Oryctolagus cuniculus: one gene and its partners. The protein of the gene in region 2 binds, or shares a complex with, the protein of the main gene of each other region. Links are inferred from orthologs where the notes say so. Each region holds a gene or a part of one and is shown on either strand. Other genes may lie near its edges.

Region 1 (4,226 bases), on a different chromosome or scaffold from region 2:
GTGGCTGCGCTTGCCGCAGCTTCTGCGGGCTAGCAGCGGAAAAGTAAAGCGACTGCCTGGGGACGGTCCTGGCGTGGCGCTGGGGGCTGCGGGATGACGGACCCGCCCTGCGGCCGGGGCCGGAGGCAGATGCCGCGCGCCTCGGCTGCTGTTGGTGCGGTGTTTGCGGGTTCCGCGCGCACGGGGTTGTGCGGTCTCCGAGACCACCCCCAAACCAGCCATAAACCCCGCAGCCGAAATCTTCCCCAGAGCGGAAGGATGTGTGGCGCTCTGAGACCTGCGCCCCGTGGGGCTCGGCTCCCCAGCGTGTCCCGCGACCCCCATTCCGTGCCGCCGCGGCCGCTACACTGCGGGGAGGCGGGGGGCTTGGCTTGGTTCTCCATGGTGCAGTCAGGAGACCCCCATATTGCGTCGCATCATTGTCCACAAAAACAGAGGGACCCCTTACTGCGCCGCCCACGGCCACTGCGGAGACCCCAGGAGCCACGGGGGTGGGCGATGCTAAAGTGCCTCGCCACGGCGGACCGCGGCAAGTGTACCCAAGGCGTTTTACAAAACAAACTGTGCGCTCGCTCTCGACAGCCCCCCTCGCTCCTCATCCTCCTCCCTGCCCTTCCGGTGGGCTCACGACCACCTGTCGCATTCCCGCGCGCGCACGCCACTGTCCCCGGGCATCTAGAGCCTTACGCTTGGCTCGAGATCTGGGGCTAGGGGCTTCGGCGCAGGGGTGCAGGGGTATCCTGGGGTGAAGGAAGAAAAAGAAAGCCCTCTGCAGTCCCCCGCCCCCCGAGGAGAGTCGGCGCGGGCGGGGAGGGAGCGATTCTGCTCCTGTTCTCCAGCATCCCGAGGCCCACGTCTTGTGTCACGTGTCTCGCTCGCAACGCAGGAGAGCTTTGTGTGGCCAAGGGGAGAAGCGAGGAGAAAGGCTCCAAATCAGTCAGGGAGAGGCGTGGAAGGAGCCCAAACGTCCCTGCGAGGCCTGCGCTCGCCAGCCCCTTACCCAAAGCCGGGCCGGCGGTGCAGGGAACCAGCTTGGCACCGGGACCTGCGTCCTCTGGTGGCAGAGAGAGCGCGCGACTGGCGATTTTCGGACCGAATCGGCACGCTCCTCAAATCCAAGCAGTCTGTGTTGGCCTGGAGCAGAGAGAGAGAGAGAGAGAGAGAGAGAGAGAGGAGGGGACGAAGGCCGAGCAGGCCGGGTGGGGGCCTGAGGGAATCACCAGTGGCCAGGAAGGAGCCAAGACTTCACCAGCCAGAACTGCACTGCCTTGGCCATGGTCTGGGGTTCTAGGCCCTGAGTGCGCTCGGGAAGTGAGGCCGCAGAACTTCCCAGCTGGTACTTTTTTCTTTCTTCCTTTCAAATAATTTTTTTCACCCTAGTTCGGTTGGGTGCTCCGTCTCACGGAGCCCCCACATCATTGTAAGAGGCCGCCACCGTGTTATGGGCCTGCGCTACTGCCTCGACGGCAATAATATGTCAGGACAACGCCATCTCCCCCCTGAAGTCGGGGAGCAGCCTCCACAGCCAGCCTTGGAGGCCCCAGGGCCAGCTGCCCCCGGTGCTGGGCCTGGCCCAGCCGAAGAGATGGAGACCCAGCCGCCTGCCAGCGAGCCCGTCCCCGCACAGGCTGGCGCCGAGGCCTGTGAACCCCCTGAGGTCTCCGGGGGCACCCTGGAGGGCCTCGCCGTGGCAGCTGACCAGGAATTCGGAGGCGATGGAGGCTACAGCCCACCTCCCGAGGAAGCCATGCCTTTTGAGGTCCAGCAGCCCAGCGTGGGAGGCTTCTGGCCCACCCCAGGGCCCATCGCAGGCCTCGAGGCCTCTGTGGATCCCGGAGTCTCGGGCAGTGCCGGGCCTGGCCTGGGAGGCTACAGCCCCCCACCAGAAGAAGCCATGCCCTTTGAGTTCGAGGAGCCTGCTGGCCAGGGAGGCTGCAGCCAGCCAGCATCGGGGGTCCCCGACCTCGCTCCCGGTGGCACAGACCTGGGGGTCCCTGGAGCTCCTCCCGGGAAGTCCGGGGCGCTCAGGCCTGCCAGCGCTGGCCTTGGAGGAGGCTATAGCCCTCCCCCCGAGGAGGCTATGCCATTTCAGCTTGATGGAGAGGCCTTTGGGGACGACAGCCCACCCCCCGGGCTCCCCCGAGCGCTCCCACAAGTTGCCAACGGCGACGGTGGCAGCAGCGCGGCAATCGCGGTCCCGAGTGCGGTCTGCCTCGCTCCCGCCACCGACGCGCCACCCCTCTGGGTCCCAGAGGCTGTCAGAGCTGCTGCTAACTTCGCGGGCGCCAGCCCCCCGATGGAGATCGCCGGACCCCCGCTCGAGATGCGCAGCGCCCCCGTCGGGGTCGACGACGCTCCCGTCAGCATGGACAGCCCCCCAATCGCGAGTGATGGCCCGCCCATCAAGGTCTCCGGAGCCCCAGATAAGAGGGAGCGCGGCGAGAGACCCCCAGTTGAGGGTGAAGCAGCCGAGATGGAAGGAGGCTCGGTCAGCGCCTCTGCGGAGAAAGGAGAAGTCCCCTCTCCGGGGGACGGAGCCTCGGGCGCCCCAGCTGGGGCCGCTCCCGCCGCCGGAGCCGCTCCCGCCGCCCCGGCGGAGCCCGAAGCCGGGGGAGCCCCGGCCGCTCCTGGCACTGCGGCCGCCGGGGCAGCCCCGGCCGATGCCGAAGCCGACGCCGACACCCGCGCAGCCCCCGGCGCCGCAGCCGCTCCTGATGCCGGGGCAGCCCCTGCCGCCGGTGGAGCCCCTGGTGCCCCGGCCGAGCACGCCGCAGCCGCCGGGGCCCCCCAGGCAGCCCCCGCCGCGCCTGCCTCCGGGGCCAGACGCAGGCTCCATCTGCTCAGACCCCCCAGCCCCGAGATCCAGGCTGCTGACCCGCCTACTCCGCGGCCTGCTCGCGCGGCTGCCTGGCGGGGCAGAGCTGAGCGCGGCCGAAGCCGCCGCCGCTACGACGACGAGGGGTCGACCAGCGGCGACGCCGACTCCTCCAGCGGGGACGAGTCCGAAGAGCGGGCCGCCGGCTGCTTCCACTGGTTCCAGCGCCGCACACGCCGCCGCCGCAAGCCCCGGCGCAACTTGCTCCGCAACTTCCTCGTGCAGGCTTTCGGGGGCTGCTTCGGTGGTCGATCTGAGAGCCCCCAGCCCAAGCCCGCGAGCCCCAGCAAGGCCAAGAAGGTTTCTCTGGCAGAGAAGCGCCGACAGATGCGCAGGGAGGCCATGGAGAAGCGCGCCCAGAAGCGCGCCGAGAAGAAACGCAGCAGGCTCATCGACAAGCAGCTGCAGGCCGAGAAGATGGGCTACATGTGCACTCACCGCCTGCTGCTTCTAGGTAACGCGGCGGCGGACTCTGCCCAGGGGCAGCAGCCCCGCCGGGGACCGGGGAGGGGGCGCGGGGCGCGGGGCTCGGCCGCGGGAGGAGGGGGCACGGCCAGGAAGTTCCACGGAGGGACCCTAACTTTGCCCCGGGCGCGGGAGGGGAGCTGGGGCGGGTTCGGGTGGCCGAGGTGTGTGCCCTCCAGGGAGAAAAGTGGTGCCGAGCGACACTGAGGGTCGTTTCCGGCTGGACAGGCCAGCGCCAGCGACCGTAAGCTGGACAGGCGGGGGCTTCAGGTGAGCCGGGAACTGCCGGAAAGGGGCGCCCACTCTCCGCCGGCTTAGGTTTGTTGGGGCCGCGGTGGGCTAGGGCCATCGGGGAAGGCGCGCCCCCGCCTCGCCTGGCACGGCTTGTTCTCGGCCAGCTTGTCGTTGGTGTGTGTCGGTGTGCGTATTCTCTGTGTCCGCCTGTGCATGACACGCTCAAGTGTTCCCCATCCCCGGCAACCCCCCCATCCCCGGATTACCCGCCGACCGTGTACTTGTACTTGGGGACGGGCTGTCGTGATGCGCGCCATGGCGCGGGCTGAAACTTTGCGCGTCTGCACACTCGTATGACACCTGTGCGCCGGCACTCCGCGGCGGAACCCGGCTGGGCCACCGGCCCGGGGGGGCGCCTCGGTAACCTTGTTCCTCTGTGTCTTTCTCTCTTTCTCCCTGTGCGCTAAGTGTTTCCTCACTTCTCATTCGTTCGCCAAACCCTCCCGCCTTTACAGTTGAAAAACCAGACACGCAGCACAGGTATCTGGGGCATTGGGGCTGCACACTGGATTTCAGCATTGCGCACAAGCACACTCACCTGGAGGGGGATGGGAAGTGGCTGGGGTGGGGGATGGAGGACATCTAGCCTGCT
Region 2 (10,704 bases):
CTGGCCTGGAAGAGGAGCAACCAGGACAGAATCTGGTGCCCCGACTGGGACTAGAACCCGGGGTGCCGGCACCGCAGGTGGAGGATTAGCATAGTGAGCCGCGGTGCTGGCCAGGAAAATGTAATCTTGAAAGGGAAGACTTTCTAAGCAAGATGGACAATTCAGAGCCACAAAGAAAAATGATTTATATTTAACCTCATAAAAATGAAATATTTCTGCACCATCAGAGGTACAACAAGCATAGTTGGGGAAGAAGACATAAAAGGCAAGATATTTGATTTATTAACAAGAACAAACTGAAAGTCCAGAATCCAGAAAAAGCCTCATAACTTGATAAACTACAAATAACTCAACATCAGCAACAACAAAAATGGCAAAAAGATTTGACGGTGCAATTAGGGGAAGTACAAAATTTAAGTTTTTTAAAGACGGGTAAATTTGGACGAGTCTATCAGAACTAAAATGCACATAACTGATATGGAATGATCTCTAACATCTAGGTTACACTTTTAAAATGCCACATGCAGAACAGGATATATGGTGTGCAACAATATTTTTGAAGGGGAGGAAATAGAAGATTCATTTTATTTGCCTTTGGTGCATGGACTGTCTGGGAAAAAATACACAAAAACTGGCAAAATGAGTTGAATTCTAAAAGGGAAACACAGCAGTTGGGGAACAAGAGTGGGAGGAGGATGTTACCTTGTATAACGTCTGAAGCTGTACCTCTCACATACACTACCTGTCCCCAGTCAAGTAAACTTAAATAAACTCAATCTCTTTTTCTGCACAACTCCCTGGGCCTCAACAAATAAAGAGAATTCTGCTTAAATAACTGCTTAAAATGTATATTCCCTATGAATTACCAATTCCACTTCTGGGACTAATTTTTTAATTTTTTAAAATTTTTTTATGTCTTATTTATTTGAAAGGCAAAGAGACACACAGACAGAGAAAGATCTCCCAAGCAGCTGGTTCACTCCCGAGTGCCCGCAAACAGCCACAGCTGGGCCAGTCTGAAGTCAGGAGCCAAGAACTCAATTTGGGTCTTCCTCAAGAGTGGTAGGAACACAGGTACCACCTGCTGCCTTCCAGAAGGCATTAGCAGGAAACAAGTGGAGAGCAGAGCCAGGACTGAAAGCTAGGCACTCCATGATGGGATGCAGGCATCCCAAGCCAGGACTTAATTACAGTGTCAAATAGTCAACCCTCCTGGGAGTAATTTTATCCAGAAATTCTCCACGGGTACTCATACAAATAAAAATACACAGATAGATGAAGTTAGAGACATTCAAGAGTTCATCAGTGGGAGAATGTTTACATACAGGACAATGAATCTATACTACGAAATACTATGTAGCCATTAAAAAGAAGGAAATATACCTGAAATTGATAATGAAAGACTCCTGAGTCATATTGTTAAATCAAAAAAAAAAAAAAAAAACCCTTAGAGTATTATTGTACCTGACCTCCATTTACATATTTTTTTGACAGGCAGAGTGGACAGTGAAAGAGAGAGACAAAGAGAGAGGTCTTCCTTTTCCATTGGTTCACCCCTCAATGGCTGCTACGGGCGGCGCACTGTGGCCGGCGCACCGCGCCAATCCGAAGCCAGGAGCCAGGTGCTTCTCCTGGTCTCCCATGCGGGTACAGGGCCCAAGCACTTGGGCCATCCTCCACTGCACTCCCGGGCCACAGCAGAGAGCTGGCCTGGAAGAGGGGCAACCGGGACAGAATCCGGCGCCCCGACTGGGACTAGAACCCGTGGTGCTGGCACCGCAGGGAAGATTAGCCTAGTGAGCCAAGGCGCCGGCTCATTTACATATTTTAAGAATGTATTGGCCAGCACCGAGGATCACTAGGCTAATCCTCCACCTAGCAGCGCCGGCACACCAGGTTCTAGTCCCGGTCAGGGCACCGGATTCTTTCCCAGTTGCCCCTCTTCCAGGCCAGCTCTCTGCTGTGGCCAGGGAGTGCAGTGGAGGATGGCCCAAGTGCTTGGGCCCTGCACCCCATGGGAGACCAGGAGAAGCACCTGGCTCCTGCCTTCGGATCAGCACAGTGCGCCGGCCGCAGCACACCAGCCATGGCGGCCACTGGAGAGTGAACCAACGGCAAAAAAGGAAGACCTTTTCTCTCTGTCTCTCTCTCACACTATCCACTCTGCCTGTTTTAAAAAAAAAAAAAAGAATGTATTATTACTTACTTGAGAGACCGCACCCATTCACTGGTTCATTCCCTGAAGGCCCACAACAACTGGCAACTGGGGCTGGGGTTGGGCTAGGAATGGGAGACGCAGTGCGGGTCTCCCACACAGGTGACAAGAACCTGATCATGGGAACCACGGCTGCTGCCTCCCGGGTCTGTATCAGCAGACAGTTGCAGTCACCAGCCAGAGCCAAGAATCGAATCCAGGGACTCTGATGTGGGACAGGGCTAGGTTAAACACTTGCTCCCTGTGTGTTTTGTAAGTTTTATTTATTTACCCATTTAATTTTAAATGCTTATTTATTCATTTTCATCTACTTAAAAAACAGAGCAACAGAGAGAGAGAGCACGGGAGAAATCTTCCATCTACGGGTTCATTCCCTAAATGCCTGAAACAGTTGGGGCTGGGCCAAGAGGAAGGCAGGAGTTCAGAATTCAGTCCGGACCTCCCAGCTGGGTGGCAGGGACATAAGTACTTGAACCATCATCTGCTGCCTCCCAGTGTGTGCATTAGCAGGAAAGCAGATCAGAAGCAGAGCCAGGACTCGAACTCAGGGACTTCACTATGGGATGTGGGCATGGCAAGGGCAGCCTAACTTGCACAACAATGCCCACCCCCTTAGGTATTTAACTGAACTCTATTCACTATATTCACATGGGTCCTAAAGTTGGAAATGCAGAAAATATGTATAGTATATATGTTGTATATTTGCTATGTCTATATAGTATACTATAATATCAACAAACTATACTATAATATCAACAAAACTATATACTGGAATATCAACTATAATACTATACTATAACACTACATACTATACCATACTATTGTAGCAACAAACCATGCATTATCTATTCATCTATATTTCCAGATTTTCTAGGCATATATTTAGGCATTGAAAAAGACCAGGAAACTGGTTACCTGTGAGGAGGATGGTAGGGTGAGGGGAGACCTAATATCTTTCCTTGTATTTCTATATTTTAAACATTTTTAACAGCTCTTATTTTTTTAAAAAAGGACTATATTGCAGGCATGCTTTATATGGCTTACCCAAGGCATTTGTTTGTAAGGAGCAGGGATGGGGTGCAGGGTATCAACTTCAGACTGCCCTGTTCACCCAGGGCTCACTCCCCGAGTACTTCAGTCTCAAACCAACTCAAAGCAAAACACAGTTCCAGTCTCCCTCCTCCCAGTTTACCCTTGGGCAGACTGAACACTCCCTCCTTCATGCCCCAGCACTCGCCATGGAAGGAAACACACAAAAACTCGGTGCAAGCCATCTCCTAGTGCAGGACCCGAATCATAAAGGAGACTAGAACTGTGCGAACCACGTGCAGAATCGTGCCGTTAAGCCGTACTGCAAACTCCAGGTAGCCCTGCTGGCTCGCTCTTGCTTTGTTGATGCTTGCTGTTCTTAAAGCAAAACTGCCAAAATGATGCCTCTCCCGCCTCGCCTCCAGTGGTGCTTTACTGCCACTCAATGACAGCGACAACTTCTGAGGGTCCACACAAAGGTTCCAAAGCGCCAGTCCACACAGTCCATAGTCCACAACCAGCCTGCACTCCTAACCCAGTTCCCCCACATATCTTTTAAAAGAATGTTTTGAATTAGCTGACGGTTTTAAAAATATAGAACTTTTTTCCATAAAAATTTACAGCTTCCCCCAAAATTCAGATCAGGCCACGAGGGACTGCAGCCTCATTGCACCTGCAGCTGCCTCCCTCACAGGAACACCAGCTCTGTAAACGGACTCTGCACACGCCCAGCCAGGCTCTCCTGCCCACCCGCCTCTTCCCGACTGCCTTCCAGGCTGGCCCCAGCCAGCACTCCTTTTGCTGACATTGAGGTCAGTTCCAGTTCAGCCCATCCCATCTCCCACAGAACCCAAACAGAGAGCTGACACCCCTCACAGCAACGCGGTGCTGCCTGCCTCTCAGAAGTCTCCCAGCACACTGGGCTGGCTCAAACACAAAGTGATGTGGGTCCTTGAGGCCGGGGATCTAGTTCCAAAATTATGGGGGAGGGGGGTTCCTAGTCTCACTGCAACAAGGTGCAGGGGTGCCGTGAAGCTGTACGGTCCTCAGTTAAAACTCGCTCCTATGTGAAAAGCATTGCCTGCTCAAAGACCTCAGTCCAGTCTTGCAGGCTGGGCAGCTGGGCAGAGACCGCCACGTCTCTCACAGCGTCTCAGCTTCCCCGTCTATCAAATGGGCTAAGAGCGCTTCCCTGCGCTGTTGTCAGAACGAAATGCAAAAGTGCATACGAAAGTGCTGCCAGCACCTTCCAAGCATAAAGTTAAGAGGGGACCCGGACAGGAAGACGGCTACCCCGGCAGGGACAAGATAGGTGGCAGCGACCCAGATACATGGGGGGTAGGGGGATGCTCCCACTCCCCCTTCTGCCCGGAGGGCCTGGGAATTGCGTCTTTTCTCCTGCTCCCAGTGGCTGCAGTAACCTGGATGGATTCTAAGGACAGCCGCCCATTCTCGGAAGCAGTAACTCTTCCTAGCGCATGTGGAGGTCCAGGGGGAGAAATGGCCGGCTGACTTGCCCCAGCACGCTCAGACAGGCTCCCCTGAGGTCACCCGGTATCCCCATTGGACAGATCCAGGGACCTAGGTCCTTTCCCTCCAAAACCACACCCCCCACCCAGGGAAGATGGAAAGACCTGCTCTGGAAAGCACGTTTGCAAAAGGGATGAAAGACAACAATAACGAACAAAAATAGCCTCAAAGATGTGCTGGCAAGTGATGCCGGCCCAGGGCCGTGTGGTTATTACCGGCGAGCAGATCGCTCTGAAACGCTCAACACCATCCCCAGTCATCCTGCAAACATTTTCATCCCAAACGCCTTTGTCCAAAGGTTGCGCCAGGGGTAAGCTCTGGCCGCCAGGCGTCCGGGGCTGACAAGTCCTCTCCGACCCCCGCAACCACCCCCCCCCCCCCGCCAAAGTCACAGCCTCCCCTTCTCCAAGATCCAAGGGGCAGGGGCCGCACCCCGCGGCGCCCGGCGACTTCGGGGCGCGCCTCCCGACGGGCTCGGGGAGACTGGGCGCGTTGTCCCGCCTGGAGAGTGTCGCTCACCTGGTGCTCGCCGATCGCAGCCCGGGGTCGCGGGCTCTCCCCCCACACCCCTATCCAGAGGGGGCCGCGCAGTCTTTGGTGCCCGTCGGCTGTGTCCCGGGCACGCACGGATGCTCTCCTTTCCGGGGGGGGGGGGTAGGTATGGGGCTGGGGCTTTGGGCGGCGCCTGAAATGGAGCAGGTTGCACCCGGCAGAATGGGGTGGGCTTCCGAGAAGCCTCTGCACGCCAGGGAGGGGCGTGTCCCCAAAATCTCCCCCACAAAGAGCCCCAGCTCTCCAAGGCGAGGCGCGCCGCGGCCGGAAAAACAGCCCCCCCACCCCACCCCCGGCTCCTCGAGGGGCGCAAGGGAGCCGAGACGCACCGTGGGGGCGGGGCGGCGTGGGGGAGGGGGCGCGGAGACCCTCCCCGGCCCGCGGCCCTCGCCCGCCCGCCCCGCACAATGAACTCAGCCCCGCTCCATCCCCGAGCGCGCCCCGCGGCCTGCGCCCCCCCGGCCAGCCGCTCACCGCCGCCGCAGCCCAGGGCCCGGCCGGGCCGCCTCCCCGCCTCGGCCGCCGCCGCCGCCGCCGCTTCCTTCCTCCCGCCGCGCTCGGGGCCGGGAGGTTTCGGGTTTCAGCCGCCGAGCCCGCCTCGGCCCGGCCGGCGCAGGCCGAGCAACTTTGAGGCGCCCGCCCCTGCGCGCCGCCCGCCCCCTGCTCGGCGCCCGCAGCCCGCCCCGCGCGCCCCTGCCTCCGCGTCCGCCCTCGTCCCGGCCACTTTTCGATGCTTCCCACCGTCGGCCTCGGCCGCCGCTCTTTGTCTCGCCCCCGGGTTCCTGCAAGGCTTTGTGGTCCCTGCCGGGGCCTTCCCTCCGTGTCCGCGCTGCTTCGCCCCGCTTCCCGCCGCTGGGACGGTCCCCGTGCATCGCACACAGGCGTGGGGCTCCGCGCGCTCCCGCTCGCCTGCTGCCTGGGTCCCGCCGCGGGCTGCTCCTGGCTCGCCGCGCTGCTCACCTTTCATTCATCCAGCCGGGCGCCCTGCACGGTCCTGGGCCCTGCGAAGGGCACCGCGAGGCGGCCGCGGGAGTGGGCAGTGGGTGTGAGCAGGGTTTTCACCACGCTGCTGTGCACTCGTGCGAACCAGGCGCAGGCCGGGGAGCGGTCGTGACGACACCCGGAGCAGGGCTCCGCCGCTCAGGGGACAGCACCGGGTCCTCCCCACTTTCTGTGCCTCGTCCCCAGCCTCCTGGTTTGCCATGCAGCAGCCTTCATACGGCGACGAAAAGTTCATGGAAACAAGAAAAGTGCTTTTTAAAAAGGAAGAGAAGACAAACAGGGCAGCAGAGAGGATCAGGTAGGAAGTTATTAAGTCCAGCTCCCAACAGTAAAAAAAACAAACGGAAACACTGATGCTTTGCTCAGGGTAGGATTTGAATTCCTCCGAAATCCATCTGTTGATGAATGCATTAACAACTCCCTTGTCTACAGACTGACACTGTGGGAGCTGGTCCTTATTATGATGAGGCCACTGAGGCACCATTAGGAGAAATAATTTGCTGTCTAGCACCTGCCAAGAACCCAGATTGCTTCCAGGGACAAGAGATATTGGGGAAGGAGACTGTGAACGAACCGGTGCCTGAATGTTCCCATGAGACCGATGCTCTGTTTGGGCAAAACTGAGAGCTATACAGCTCCCCTGAGCATCTCGGGACCCGGCATGCGCAGTGCTAGCAGTAGCTTAGAGCAGGTTGCTCTCCAGAGTGTTTTCGCGATTATTCTGAAGTCTCTGGTTATTTACCCTGGCTCAGACACCGGCTAAGCTCTGTGACCTTGAGAAAGTTAGTTAACCTTTCTGAGGCTCAGCTTACTCATAGGATGGGGGCTTCAAAAACTTCATGGAAAATACACATCATCTTTTAATTTTGATTTTCCACAAATTTTTTGAAGCCCCTTGTATATAAAATGCGGATACTCATTCCCACCTGTAGAACTGAAAAGGGTGAGCGAGGGGGCGGCGTTATGGTGTGGTAGGTAAACCTGCGGCCTACGAAGCCAGCAACCCATTCAGATGCTGGTTCGAGTCCTGGCTGCTCCACTTCTGATCCAACTTCCTGCTAATGAGCCTGAGAAAGCAGTGGAAGATGGCCCGAGGGCTTGGATCCCTGCACCTAGGTAGGAAAACTGGGTAACAATGAAGCTCCCGACTTCTGGCTTTGGCCTGGCCCAGCTCCAGCTGTTGCAGCCATCTGGGGAGTGAACCCGTGGATGGAAGACCTCTCTCTGTGTCCCTCCCTCTCTTTCTGTAACTCAAGTCAAATAAATAAATATTTTTTAAAAGGGAGGGAGGGATAAAAGGGTTAGTGAAACACTGTAAAGTAATCACCCATGGTCACAGAATCTGAGAACCAAGCTTTGAAAACTGGCGTTCAAGAAAGGTCTGGGACATGGGCACCCTTAGAGCACTGGTTCGAGTCCCGGCTGCTCTGCTAATGTGCCTTGGAAGCCAGCAGATGAGGTCCAAGTACTTAGGTCCCTGCAACCCACGTAGGAGACCAGGAAGGAGTTCCAGGGGCTCCTGGCTTTGGCCTGGCCCATCCCTGGCTGATGAGGCCGTTTGGCACGAGAACAAGTAGATGGAGGATCTCTCTCCCTTTTTCTCTTTCTGTGTCATTCTGATTTTCAAATAAATAAATATTTTTAAAAAGAAAGTAAGAGGGTCGGCGCCATGGCTCACTTGATTAATCCTCTGCCTGCGGTGCCGGCATCCCATATGGGCACCGGGTTCTAGTCCTGGTTGCTCCTCTTCCAGTCCAGCTCTCTGCTGTGGCCCAGGAAGGCAGTAGAGGATGGCCCAAGTGCTTGGGCCCTGCACCCCATGGGAGACCAGGAGAAGCACCTGGCTCCTGCCTTCGGATTGGCGCAGCTCTGGCCGTAGCGGCCATTTGGGGGGTGAACCAACAGAAGGAAGACCTTTCTCTCTTTCTCTCTCACTATCTAACTCTATCTGTCAAATAAAAATAAAAAATAAATAAAAAAGAGAAGCATGAACTCTTTCTTTGAAGGAAGGAAGGAAGGAAGGAAGGAAGGAAGGAAGGAAGGAAGGAAGGAAGGTAGGTCTGAAAATATGTGCCCTAGACCAGCATGGGAGGAGTGAGAACCAAAACCAACTATAGCTCTCTCAGTTCCGCCTGCATCCTAATGCAAAAGCTGTCCTTGTTGAGTGGTCTTTTCCCATACTTAGTCCCTCTCAACTTGAACTCTTCAATGGAAAGCATTTTTCCTCATGTTCATTATCAAATATATTATTTATTGCAAAGGTTTTTTGTTTCCCATTGCTCGTAAGCTCGGAACTTACTGTACATTTAGGAGTAGAAATTACTGCCAACAAATGCATTTTTCAATTACCCTCTTAAGATTTTTTTTTCCCTCCTACAGCTGATATTGAGCTATGAGCAGTATTCGGTCAGATGCAGAGAAAACAGAACAATTGTTAAAGTAATGTCTCGCTATTTATCATCATATAGGGAACAATCTAGTGAAAAACATGACATTGATTTTGTGCAAACATTTAATTTGTTTTTGCAAAAGAAGAGAAAGATACAAAATTCTCCTTTTCCAAATCAGTTTCATAAGCCATTCTTTTATAAGATTTCCCCGAAGACTTCCGCAGTAAGATAATGAGAGGTCTCTTCCAACCAAATCCTGAATGCTGATTGAAGAGTCAACATATGCTGAGATATCTTTTATATAAAATATCACTTCAATTCAGCATCCCACATAAAACTAGTAAAGGCAAAATGGTTCAGTGTGTTCTCTGTCCCACGCGGAGTGTTACTGCCCTGTTCTGCGCAGGCCGAGTCCTTGCCCTCATGTCTCAGCTTCAATGCCACCTCCTCAGAGAAGTCTTCCTGACTAATCTCTCCCTTACCTCCCTGTTCCTTTTCCATATAAAATGCATCCCAATTTATATCTTTTTTTCCCATTTGTTTACAGGATGTCCCTCGTGGTAAACTCCATGAAGGCAGAGACCCTCATGGAGTGAATGTCATGGACTTTTTAATTTACCAAAATAGAATCACAGCCTAACACCATAAAACTTGTGTTAGAGGCAAAGACACACACACACACACACTCTCACACACAAACATACACATTCACACACACACACTCACACATACACACACAGCAATGCTATCCACTAGTCCACTCCCCAGATGCCCTCAATGGTAAGGACTGGGCCTGGCCAAAGCCAGGAACAGGGAACATAATCCAGATCTCCCGTGTGGGTTGGAGGAACCCAATAACTCCAGCCATCATCACTGCCTCCTAGGGTCTGCTGAGCAGGAAGCTGGAGTCAGGAATCGGAGCAGTTTATCAAACTCAGACACTCCAATATGGGATGCAGGAATTTCACTCAGCATGCTAACCACTAGGCTAACCACTCCCCAAGAAAATGTGTTCTTAAATAAATTGAGGACAAATCAAAATAAATAAAGTATGTCTTCAGCAGCTTCTGGCTTCTCGAACTTTGGGAAATAAAAGAGTATCTTGGAGTTTTCTTAGACACCAGACTAAAAGTCCAACTAATAAATACAGAACTTTGATGAGTTTGAGGTTCAAAGTGTGATGTGTTGAGAACTGATTCCTTCCCATGATGCTATCAAAAAAGGGAAAAGACCACTCACAGAATGGATTTTGTAGTCTTCACAATCTGTTACAACACTTCTAGCCAGGGGCTGGTGCTGTGGCTTAGCAAGTAAAGCCACCGCCTACAGTGCCAGCATCCCATATGGACACTGGTTCGAGACTCAGCTGCTTCACTTCCAATCCAGCTCTCTGCTATGGCCTGGGAAAGCAGTAGAAGATGGCCCAAGTGCTTGGGCCCCTGTACTCACATGGGAAATCTGGAAGAAGCTCCTGACTCCTGGCTTTGGATTGGCACAGCTCCGGCCACTGCAGCCAATTGGGGAGTGAACCAGCAGATAGAAGACCTCTCTCTCTCTCTCTCTCTCTCTCTCTCTCTTCTCTGTGTAACTCTGACTTTCAAATAAATAAATAAATCTTAAAAAAGAAGACTTCTAGCCAGAACATACAAAGAACTCCTACAACTCAATGATAAAAAAAAAAAAAACTTAATAATCCATTTAAAGAATGAGCAAAGGATCTGAGTAGGCATTTCTCCAAAGAAGACATGCACATAGCCACTAAGTACAAGCAAAGCTTCCCAATAGCATAGCCATTGGGGAAATACATATCAAAACAACACGATTCCAATTCACACAAGCTGGGACGGCTATAATCAAAAAGCAATCACAAATGTGGCGGGAGTCTTTAGAAATTAAAACGTTGTACATTGCTGGTTGGTATGTAAAACTGTGCAGCCACTTTACAAAGCAATTTGGCAGTCCCTCAAAATGTGAAACATAAATTTA
Region 3 (10,731 bases), on a different chromosome or scaffold from region 2:
GCGAACAGCAATGGCACTGCTACTGTGGCAGGAAATGAGACTCTGACCTGGACATCCCTGTGGGTCGTACACTATGGAAATCAGTCAATCGAAAAGGGGGACCTTTTCCAGACAGGCACACTCATTAGTAAGAGGCGAGCCACCCGGCCATCATCACAAGGCATGGACAAGAGCAAAACCACCGCGCAACGTGTCATTGGAGTGAATATTGTCGGGTTAAAAATGCTACCCAGAGTTTAAAGACCCCTGCCGGTTTTTACAATCAGCGTTTAAAGCCCTATTCCCGGGCTGCGATCGGTCGCCCATCCCCGCCCCTTCCCCCACCCCGAGATCCGCCACCCTTGCGACCCCTGCGGGCTGCGCGCGTCCCCGCCGTCCCCACGCCCGGCGAGGGCGCCCGCGCGGGACCTACCCAGCAGCAGCAGCCGGTGCGTCTGTTGCAGGTCGCGCTTCTGCTCGCGCAGCATGCGGTCGATGCCCCGGCTCACTTTCTTTGCCTCCCGCGCAGCCTCGCGCTCCTCGGCGCTCAGCTGGTCCCCGCGCCGCCTCTTCTCCTTCTGCGGGGCCGCTTTGGGCCGCGCGCACGCCGGGCTCCCACCGCCTGCCCGAGGGAGCAGGGTCCGGGCCGCGTCGCCCCCCGCCGCCTGCGCGGATGCTCGGGCGGGGACCAGGGCCAGGACCGGGGCCGGGGCCGGGGCCGGGGCGGGCGTCGGCCGCGCATCCTCCCCGGGCGGTTCCGAAGCCTCGCAGGGGGCTTCTTCGGGGCCGCCGAAGAGCAGCGGCCGCAGACTGTAGCACAGACCCATGTGGGCGTAGGGGACGCGCCGGACAGGGGGTCGAAGCGCCGAGGGCGGCTGGGTTCAGGCCGGGGTCCCCGCGGAGGGGCTCGAGGGGGCTGCTCTCGGACCCGGCGTGGTGCTGCGGTCCGCCGGCCGCGGGGCGGAGTTGCGGCGGGCCCCTGAGGGCCACGGCCCCTCACTGCCCCCGAGGGCCATTTTGCATTTTCCGTTGGGTGCCGGAGGTGGCGGTCGCCCGGGCTGGAGATCACCTGATGGCGCCGGGAGCTGACCGAGCCGACGGGCCTCGGCGAGCCCGGCCCCCGTTACCGTAAACCCCGCCGCCGCCCCAGCCCCGCTACAGTAAATACTGCCGCCCGGGCTGCATCTCGTTACCGTAAATATTGCGGCCTGGCCAGCCCTGTTACCGTAAGTACCGTCGCGCGTGCAAAACTCGGCTGCCGTAAATACCGCCGCGCGAGCCTGGCGCGCAGCTGCGGACAGTGGTGCAGTGGCGGTGCGGTCACCTCCTGGAGCCTTGGTTGCTGCCGTTAGAAACCACGGTGGCCTTGCTCTTGGTCGGATGCAGGGATAGAGACGCCGGCTTTAAGGCTTTCAGTTCCCCAATGCTGAGATCTCTGGGCCGTGCCCCTTTTCTGCTAACAACACATGCACGCTCGTCCACGCCCTCCTGATCCCTACTCAAACGCTACTACACAGTTGACTACAACAAAATCTCCAATGTAGAGGTTCACGGCACCGCTTTCAACACCCTCCAAGCTAACTTAAAACGTAAAAAGGGACACGTGTGTTTGTCGTGTGCTATTTGTACTCGTTAAAACGAGAATGTGAAGTTGCAACACCCAGGATAGTGCAGGGAGGCCCTTTCAGACCGGGGGACGCTCTCTCCAATCCTCTGCAGGTACAAACCCTCGCTCCCACCTCCTGCGTTCTTTCCTACTTCGTGCACATGCTACAGAGCAGTTCCAACAGGTGAATACCTCAGGATGGCTTTTAAGAAACTTGCTGTATCAGATGTTACATGGTTTCGAGGAAAATGATGTGGAATATTATAAATGATAAACATCTAAATTCCGTGGATATAGCAGATTAGGCCAGTGTCTAGCTATCATCTATCCATCCATCCATCCATCCATCCAATCTATAGAGAGAGATTCTCCAAAGAATAATGGTATTTATCTGGGAATAAAGGAGCAATGCCATAGGAATACATCTTCCAGAGTAAACATGAGCACAAACACATTGAGGCAAGGGGAAGTTTTTGAAGGCCAAAATGAGGAGACTGATGTGGAACATTTTGAAACAATAATCTTTGGCCGTGATTATGAGGGTGATGTCTGAGGTTGCACTGCTGGATGGATGTTAATGAGAAGTAGTTTGTGTGTGAGACTGTACTGGCCTCTGTTGTAATGCTGTAGTTCTGGCAGTCTTTTGTGATGGTTGCTATTAGGCTATTACATGTTCTTCATAACCTGATTTTATTTTTTTGTTAGGGTTGATACAGCGACTCTATTTTGATTCTCACAACTTAGAAATTCTTTTCAATAGCATGCTCTCAGTGTATGCTATCAGTTGGCAATTGGTATAAATATCACATTTGATTACTGAGAAAGAGAAATTGACCAAGATCTTCCATTCACAGGTTCTGTCCCCAAATATCCAAAGCTGCGTGGGCTAAGCTAGGTCAAACTCAGGAACTTGGCACTCCATCTGGGTCTCCCATGTGGGTGGCAGGACCCAAGTACTTGAGTCATCACCTGATGTTTTCCAGTGTGTCTGTTAGCAGGAAACCGGATCAGAAGCAGATTGAGGCCTTGAACCCAGTCACTCTGATATGGGATGTGAGTTTCCCAAGTGGTGTCTCAACTGCTGTGCTACACAGCCTGCCCCTGATTACATTTAAATAATAAGTTGAGGTCCAGTATTCACATTTCTTTTGGTGCCTTGTTAGTAACAAATACATATACTATGCAATGCTTTTGGCTTAACATTATCCAAAATATTTTACCAAAATTATGGTATACTTTTAGATATTTTCAGGGTAGAAGGCAGAGGGACTGTTTTAGTCAGTTTTTAGTTACTACAACAAAATTCCCAAGACATTGACTTTATTAAGAGGTGGATTTTGATGGTTCATGTTATGAGATCGAATAGGCCTTTTGGTTTGGCATCTGATGATAACTTTGTTGCTTTCAGAGTCTTGAGGTAGCACAGAGCATCACATGACAAGAGACAGGGAAAGTACACGTCTGTGTCTGTGTGTGTCTCCTACAGCCACCAGGATTTTTTTTTTTTTTTTTGACAGGCAGAGTGGACAGTGAGAGACACAGAGAGAGAAAGGTCTCTTTTGCCGTTGGTTCACTCTCCAATGGCCCCCGCGGCTAGCGCGCTGCGGCCGGCGCACCGCGCTGATCCAATGGCAGGAGCCAGGTACTTATCCTGGTCTCCCATGCGGGTGCAGGGCCCAAGGACTTGGGCCATCCTCCACTGCACTCCCTGGCCACAGCAGAGAGCTGGCCTGGAAGAGGGGCAACCGGGACAGAATCCGGCGCCCCGACCGGGACTAGAACCTGGTGTGCCGGCGCTGCAAGGCGGAGGATTAACCTAGTGAGCCGCGGCGCCGGCAACAGCCACCAGGATTTAATCATGGAGACATCATCTTAAAAGACCCAGTCCAATCCACCCATCTCCTAGAGACTCCAACTTCAAACATGGTAAATAGATTAGGTGAATACACTTTAAATGCTATGAAGTCATGACTTTGAAGCTTAAACTTCTGCATGAGTTTTGGGGACATATATTCAAGCCATAGTATTCTGCCTCTGGCCCCCTGAAACTCTTATCCTTCTCACATATGCACCTTTCCATACCCCTAAGTCCCAAAGTTTTGACTCAGTCCAGCATTAAAGTAAAATTTCAAAGTCCAAAATCTCACATTAGATTCAAGGCAAATTTCTCCAGTTGTGAGCCTGCAAAAAAATCTGAGTTACAAACATTTCCATTCCAAAAAGAGAAGTGGACAGGAAAATCGGAGGAATAATTGTCCAAAGCAAAACTGAAACTCAGTAGAGCAAATATTAAATACTGAAGTTTTATTTCTGGTAACTGGAACACATATCCAGGGCAGGGGCATAGGGGGAGCCCTGCCTGTGGCTTTGCTGATGTCACAGTCCACATGGCTGCTCTCTGAGGTTAGATGCAGACACCTGGGATTTTCAAGGTTGGTGTGGTATGTTACTGGTCGTTTTACCTCCCTGGGGTCTCCACATTGCGCATCCACTTCATCCCTATTGATACGGGCTAGGCAGGGAGTTAGTGAGGGACGAGGAGCTAAGTGGTTTTCAGCAGCCTCTGTGCCAATAGCCCTGTACCACTAAAAGCTCCCAAGCCATTAGCAGGGAGCTGGATCAGAAGTCGAGCAGCAGGAACTTGATGCTGGCATGGCAGGTGGAGGCTTGACCTTCAGCGCCAGCCACTGAAATCGTACATTATGCAAAACAAAAAAACAAACAACAATGAAGAAAAGTGACATTTAAAGACCTAGGGGTCAATATTGTCTGGTCACTAAGAGTGTAATTAGAGTCCTGGAAAGAGGAAAAAAGAAAATGGTGCAGAAACAATATTGGAAGAAATAGTGATCGTTGATTTCTGAAAATCAGTAAAAGACATTAACTTATAAATCCTAAAATTCAAAGAACATGAAGTAGGATAAGTATAAGGAAAATCACATTTAAATACATCAAGTAAAATTACTGAATTTTTGCAAATATAAAGAGAGAATTAGTAAAGTAGTCAAGGAGCCAGCACTGTGGCACAGCAGGTTAAGCTGTAGTAAGAAGAGAACAGTTATGAATGTGTGTACAGAATTTTGAAACACAGAACTTAAGAAAGAAGCAAACAAAGCCACAGTCCTAATTGGTTCTTGTAGCATGATGGCTCATTAACAGAAAAATCGGGAGGTTGGAATGGGGACAGGCATCTGGTACAACAGTTAAGACACTGCTTGGACACAAGTGTCCTGTATTGGAATGCCTGGTTCCAGTCCTGGCAAGTCTACTTCCCAGGCAGCTCGCTGCTGATGTGTACCCTTGAAGGCAGAAGGTGATGGCTCCAGTACTTGTAGGCAGCCTGGATGAAATTCTTGGCCATTGGCTTCAGCCTGGCCCAGCTCTGGCTGCTGTGGCCATTAGGAGAGTGAACCACCAGATGGAAGATCTCTCTCCATCTCTCCATCTGTCTCTCTGCCTTTTGAAGAAATAAAGATAATTTTAAAAAGCAATGCTCCTCCCAAGTTCATGTGGCATGTTCACACAGATACTGGGCCAGATGTCTCAATAAATTCTTTTTTTTTTTTTTTTTTTTGACAGGCAGAGTGGACCGTGGCCAGTGCACCGCGCTGATCCGATGGCAGGAGCCAGGTACTTCTCCTGGTCTCCCATGGGGTGCAGGGCCCAAGGACTTGGGCCATCCTCCACTGCACTCCCTGGCCACAGCAGAGAGCTGGCCTGGAAGAGGGGCAACCAGGACAGAATCCAGCGCCCCGACCGGGACTAGAACCCGGTGTGCCGGCGCTGCAAGGCAGAGGATTAGCCTACTGAGCCGCGGCGCCGGCCTCAATAAATTCTAAAATACTAAAAGTCTTACAGAGGATGCTGTTTGGCCACAATGGAATTAAACTAGAAAAATTTAAGTATCTAGGTTATCCCCAAATATATGGAAATCAAACAATAAGTTTCCAGCTAAACTGTGGTTTTAGGAATGAAAATCTTACCTATCAGAATTGGTGAGATGCAGCTAAAGCAGTTTTTAGGTGAATATTTGCAGCTTTAAATGCTTACATTAGGAAGGAAGAAAGGCTTAAAATCACTGATCTTAGTTTATACCCTGTGAATCTAGAAAAAGAAATTAAACACAAGATAAGTAGAAGAAAGGAAATAATGAAGAACAGGAACCAAGAGGAGTGAGGAAGGCACAACTGTCTTCTTTGAAAAGTCCAATAAAGTTAATAAATCTGTACTAAGAAATTAAAAACAAATTTAAGTTTATTTATACAATGGAATATTACTCTTGAATAAAGAGAAATGAACTAATAATGAATTTTACAACATAGATAAATCACACAGACATTATGCTGAGTGAAAAAAAAAAAAGCCACAGAAGAGTACATACTTCATATGTGAAGTTCTGGAGTAGAATTAATTCAAGTTGAAAAAAATAACAGTACTTGCCTCTGGAGCCTAGTATTGAATGAAAAGAATCGTGGCCGGCGCCGCGGCTCACTAGGCTAATCCTCTGCCTTGCAGCACCGGCACACCGAGTTCTAGTCCCGGTCAGGGCGCCGGATTCTGTCCCAGTTGCCCCTCTTCCAGGCTAGCTCTCTGCTGTGACCAGGGAGTGCAGTGGAGGATGGCCCAAGTCCTTGGGCCCTGCACCCCATGGGAGACCAGGAAAAGCACCTGGCTCCTGGCTCCTGCCATCGGATCAGCGTGGTGTGCCAGCCGCAGCGCGCCGGCCGCGGCGGCCATTGGAGGGTGAACCAACAGCAAAGGAAGACCTTTCTCTCTGTCTCTCTCTCACTTTCCACTCTGCCTGTCAAAAAAAAAAAAAAAAAAAAAAAAAGAGGGAGACGAAATATATTCAGTATTTGGTCTGAGTCAGCCATTTTTTTTTTTCCAAAAACGTACAACCTAAGATGTGTGCATTGCAACAGATGTAAATTTTATGTAAAACACCTAAAATTTAGTGGGGTGTGGGATGGCAGAAGAGTGGCAGAATGTTTATCATTGTTGAAGGTGAGGGATGGATACATTTGGGTTCATTATACTACTCTGTTCGCACATGTTTGAAAATTTCCACAGAACATTAGGAAATCATGAACTATATTTTAACCACTTTAAAAATGCAAACATACTGTGCAATTTTTTGATAATGCAAAATGTTGAAATTTTAGTGACCTGGAAAGTATTCTTGATAAACAAAGAAAAGCACATATAAAAACAACACTTTTTTTTTTTTTTAAAAAGATGTGGTTATTTATTTTGAAAGTCACAGTCATAGAGAGAGAGGGAGAGACAGAGAGATCTTCCATCCACTGGTTCAGTCCCCAGATGGCCACAAAGGCCATCGCTTAGCTAGGCCAAAGACAGGAGCTGGGAACTTCATCTGGGTCTCTCATGTGGGTAGCAGGGAACCAAGCAATCGGGCCATCTCCTGCTGCTTTATTCAGGCCATTAACAGAGAGCTGGATTGGAGTGGCGCAGGATCAGGGTTAGGGACACAAACCAGTGCCTATATGGAATGCCCATGCTTTGTGGGCAGAGTCTTAACCTGCTCTCACAACACCAGCCCTCAGATGGCACATTTTCTTGAAAAAGCATGTCAGTTTAGACACAGTCATTGAGAAATTGCTTTCTGAGTTATAAGCAGAGTTGTGTTTTTGTGGTGGAACTTTAGGGGACTTTTCTTTATGCTTTTTGCCCTAATTTCCAACCCTTTCCCTCATGAACAAGAATGACTTCATTATTATATTCATTATACTGATCTCCTGGGAGCCTTGCATATTGTTGATTCTAATCCAAGCTGTAGACAGTCTGGGCATTTGCCTATTTCCTGTCTCTGTCAGCGCAGAAGACGCTGAGAAGAACCTGAGACCAGAAGGGATCTTTGCTTCTTCTCTCCACCGGATTCCAGTGGCTGAGGGCTCAGACAGTGAACACACATCCAGGGAGTATGTACAGTGATTTCCTGGGATTCCACAAGAAGATGCAAGGACATCTCTAAAAGTTTGCATTTTTTAACTAGATCCTTTTAATATTTTTGTATGTTTTGTAACAATCATGCTGTGTCAAAGAATTGACAGATGACATTTGTTAAGGGTTGGGGCTGAGATATTTTTTCACTGATTGGGTGATCAATGTCGGGATGCTGATTTATCTGATGAGTGGTAGCCTGTGCCATTTGGAGAGTGTCCTTGGAAGACTTCAGAGGTAGGGACCATCTGGCCGGTGGGCTGTGCAAGTCCTGTGAAATCATTTGGCCTGACCTTGCCAAAGCAGCCACAGGAGGCTGTGGTGAATAAATATCCAATATCCAATAAATGTAATGCAAGCTAATATTTAAGTTGATAATTTTGTATTGCCCGTTGAACGATGTTCTAAATATCTAAATGGCCGTTGGCAGGAAAGGCTCTTCTCTCCTGCATCTAAGAAGGGTTCCCACCTGGGGAGTTGGAGTGGGTCTGTGTTGGGTGAGCTGGGAATGTATTTAGCTCCCAACACTGGGCACTGGAAGTAACAACTGACTGGCCTGGGCCAGACTGCTGCTCATGGCCAAGATGAGGCTGTGGTCATGAACACTGTCCTCAACCTGATTCAGAGCCCAGTGGACACCAGGGAGTCTTTGCTCTAAAATCACATAAATTAATCAGTTCAACAGCTTGCATTCTGATACTCCTTGGAAATTTTTGAATATGTAACATGTGATTGTGTATATACACCACATTGTGTCTGTTCATCCACTGAGGGACACCTAGGCTGAGTCCCCACCTTAACCACTGTGAACAGTGCTGCAATGAAACTTGGGGTTACGTTTGTTCTCCTGGGCACCCTGATCTCAATTCCTTTGGGTATATATCCAATTGTGGGATCACTACCATCAGATGCAGTTCTTTTTTTAAAAAATATTTATTTATTTGAAAGAGTTACACAGAGAGGAGAGAGGAGAGAGAGAGAGAGAGAGAGAGAGAGAGAGAGAGAGGTCTTCCATCCGCTGGTTCACCCCCCAATTGGCTGCAATGGCTGGAGCTGGGCTGATCTGAAGCCAGGAGCCAGGAGCTTCTTCCAGGTCTCCCACGTGGGTGTAGGGGCCCAAGGACTTGAGCCATCCTCTGCTGCTTTCCCAGGTCATAGCAGAGAGCTGGAAGGGAAATGGAGCATCAGGGACTTGAACCGGCACCCATATGGGATGCAGGCGCTTCAGGCCAGGGCGTTAACCTGCTGCACCACAGTACCAGCCTCAGGTGCAGTTCTAATTTTAGTTTACTAAGGGAACCCTATATGTATTGCATATTTCAAAACTGCTAGAAGAGTTATTTCTAAATGTTCTCACCACATACACAGAAAACAAATATATGAGATGATGCACATCCCATCTCAATCTAGAAACTTGATCATTTTTTTCCCTTACTCTCTTTCTAAGAAATCTCATCATCCAAGATAATGGTCTTATTTATTTTTATTTTTTTTTGACAGGCAGAGTGGACAGTGAGAGAGAGAGACAGAGAGAAAGGTCTTCCTTTGCTGTTGGTTCACCCTCCAATGGCCGCCGTGGCCGGCGTGCTGCGGCCGGCACACCACGCTGATCCGAAGGCAGGAGCCAGGTGCTTTTCCTGGTCTCCCATGGGGTGCAGGGCCCAAGGACTTGGGCCATCCTCCACTGTACTCCCTGGCCACAGCAGAGAGCTGGCCTGGAAGAGGGGCGACTGGGACAGAATCCGGTGCCCCGACCGGGACTAGAACCCGGTGTGCCGGCGCCGCTAGGTGGAGGATTAGCCTAGTGAGCCGTGGCGCCAGCCCCGATAATTGTCTTATAATAATTTTTCTTCTCCTCTCTTACTTTCTCCCTGGTTTTTTTTTTTTTTTTTTTTTTTTTTTTGACAGGCAGAGTGGACAGTGAGAGAGAGAGACAGAGAGAAAGGTCTTCCTTTGCCGTTGGTTCACCCTCCAATGGCCGCCGTGGCCGGCGTGCTGCGGCCGGCACACCGCGCTGATCCGATGGCAGGAGCCAGGAGCCAGAGCTCTCCCCTCTGCTGGTTCATTCCCCAAATGTCTGCAACAGCCAGGACTGGGCCAGGCCAAAGCCAGGATCCAGGAACTTCTTCCAGGTCTCCCATATGGGGGTCCAAGGACTCGGACCATCCTCTGCTGCCTTCCTAGGCACACCAGCAGAGAGTTGGATTGGAAGCAGAGCAGCCGGGACTTAAACCAGCATCCGTGTGGGATGCTGGCAGCTGCTTAACCCACTAAGCCACAATGAATCATATAATCTGTGGGCTTTTTGTGAGTGGTTTCTTTCACTTAGCACAGTGTTTTCGAAGTTCATCCATTTTGGATAGTGGATCAGTTCTTCATTCCTTTTTATTGCTAAATAACATTCCATTTGGGGTGAATGTTTGGCACAGTGGATAAGATGCTACTTGAGATGCCTGTGTCACATGCTGGAGTGCCTGGGTTCAAGTGCTGACTCTGCTTCTGCTTCTAGCTTCCTCCTAATGTGCCCCTGGGGACAGCAGGTGATGCCTCAAGTTGGTGGGTCCCTGGCATTCATGAGGGAGTTTCTGTTTCTGGGCTTTGGCCTGACCCAGCCCTTGTTGTTACAGGCATCTGGGAAGTGAGCCAGAGGATGGAATATATTCTCTCTCTCTCCTTCTCCTTGCCTCTCAAATAAATGAAAATTTTGAAAAATGCAAGAAGTTGGTCTAAAACCCAACTCCATTGTATGACAGTTTATCTGTCAGTTGGTGGACATCTGGGTTGTTTTCACTTTCTAGTTGTAGTGAATAATGCTGTTGTGAACATTAGTGCCCAAACTCTTGTTAGTGACTAGTTCCTGTCTCGCTCTTTCTTTCTTTCTTTCTTTCTTTCTTTCTTTCTTTCTTTCTTTCTTTCTTTCTTTCTTTCTTTCTTTCTTTCTTTCTTTCTTTCTCGCTTTCTCGCTTTCAGATGTTATTTGAGGGGTAGAGTTATAGACAGAAAGAGGGAGAGACAGAGAGAAAGGTCTTCCATCTGCTAGTTCACTGCCCAAATGGCGATAATGGCTAGAGCTGAACTGATCTGAAGCCAGGAGCCAGGAGCTTCCTCTAGGTCTCCCACGCTGGTGCAGGGGCCCAGAGAGAGGTAGAGACAGAAAGAGAGAGTGGTGTTCCATCTGCTGGTTC

Evidence for each region.
Region 1: the proteins of GPR161 (region 2) and GNAS are in contact, whole or in part, in a cryo-EM structure (PDB 8SMV), measured with the Homo sapiens proteins. The link is inferred for Oryctolagus cuniculus from reciprocal best matches to the Homo sapiens genes GPR161 and GNAS. Residues at the interface, in NP_001254539.1 of Homo sapiens: Arg125, Ala128, Val129, Leu130, Pro132, Met133, Met137, Ile211, Val214, Ala215, Lys218, Ala219, Lys267, Ala268, Thr271, Ile272, Trp327; in NP_000507.1 of Homo sapiens: His41, Lys216, Val217, Phe219, Phe376, Cys379, Arg380, Asp381, Ile383, Gln384, Arg385, His387, Leu388, Tyr391, Glu392, Leu393, Leu394.
Region 3: the proteins of GPR161 (region 2) and GNAL are in contact, whole or in part, in a cryo-EM structure (PDB 8KH4), measured with the Homo sapiens proteins. The link is inferred for Oryctolagus cuniculus from reciprocal best matches to the Homo sapiens genes GPR161 and GNAL. Residues at the interface, in NP_001254539.1 of Homo sapiens: Arg125, Ala128, Val129, Leu130, Pro132, Met133, Tyr135, Pro136, Met137, Ile139, Ile211, Val214, Ala215, Lys218, Ala219, Lys267, Ala268, Thr271, Trp327, Asn328, Lys329, Arg332; in NP_001135811.1 of Homo sapiens: Ala41, His43, Lys203, Val204, Phe206, Phe363, Cys366, Arg367, Asp368, Ile370, Gln371, Arg372, His374, Leu375, Gln377, Tyr378, Glu379, Leu380, Leu381.

Annotation. Positions count from the first base shown.
Region 1 is NC_091442.1:3,426,355-3,430,580, reverse strand, and holds the start of GNAS (guanine nucleotide-binding protein G(s) subunit alpha isoforms XLas), read left to right. Parts: upstream 1-1,426; 5' UTR 1,427-1,441; coding exon 1,442-3,329; intron 3,330-4,226. UniProt on the Homo sapiens protein: Guanine nucleotide-binding proteins (G proteins) function as transducers in numerous signaling pathways controlled by G protein-coupled receptors (GPCRs).
Region 2 is NC_091438.1:30,614,026-30,624,729, reverse strand, and holds the start of GPR161 (G-protein coupled receptor 161), read right to left. Parts: upstream 6,512-10,704; 5' UTR 6,294-6,511; coding exon 6,287-6,293; intron 6,230-6,286; exon of another isoform or gene 6,068-6,229; intron 5,949-6,067; exon of another isoform or gene 5,801-5,948; intron 5,419-5,800; exon of another isoform or gene 5,294-5,418; intron 1-5,293. UniProt on the Homo sapiens protein: Key negative regulator of Shh signaling, which promotes the processing of GLI3 into GLI3R during neural tube development.
Region 3 is NC_091441.1:68,764,217-68,774,947, reverse strand, and holds the start of GNAL (guanine nucleotide-binding protein G(olf) subunit alpha), read right to left. Parts: upstream 5,334-10,731; 5' UTR 807-5,333; coding exon 413-806; intron 1-412. UniProt on the Homo sapiens protein: Guanine nucleotide-binding protein (G protein) involved as transducer in olfactory signal transduction controlled by G protein-coupled receptors (GPCRs).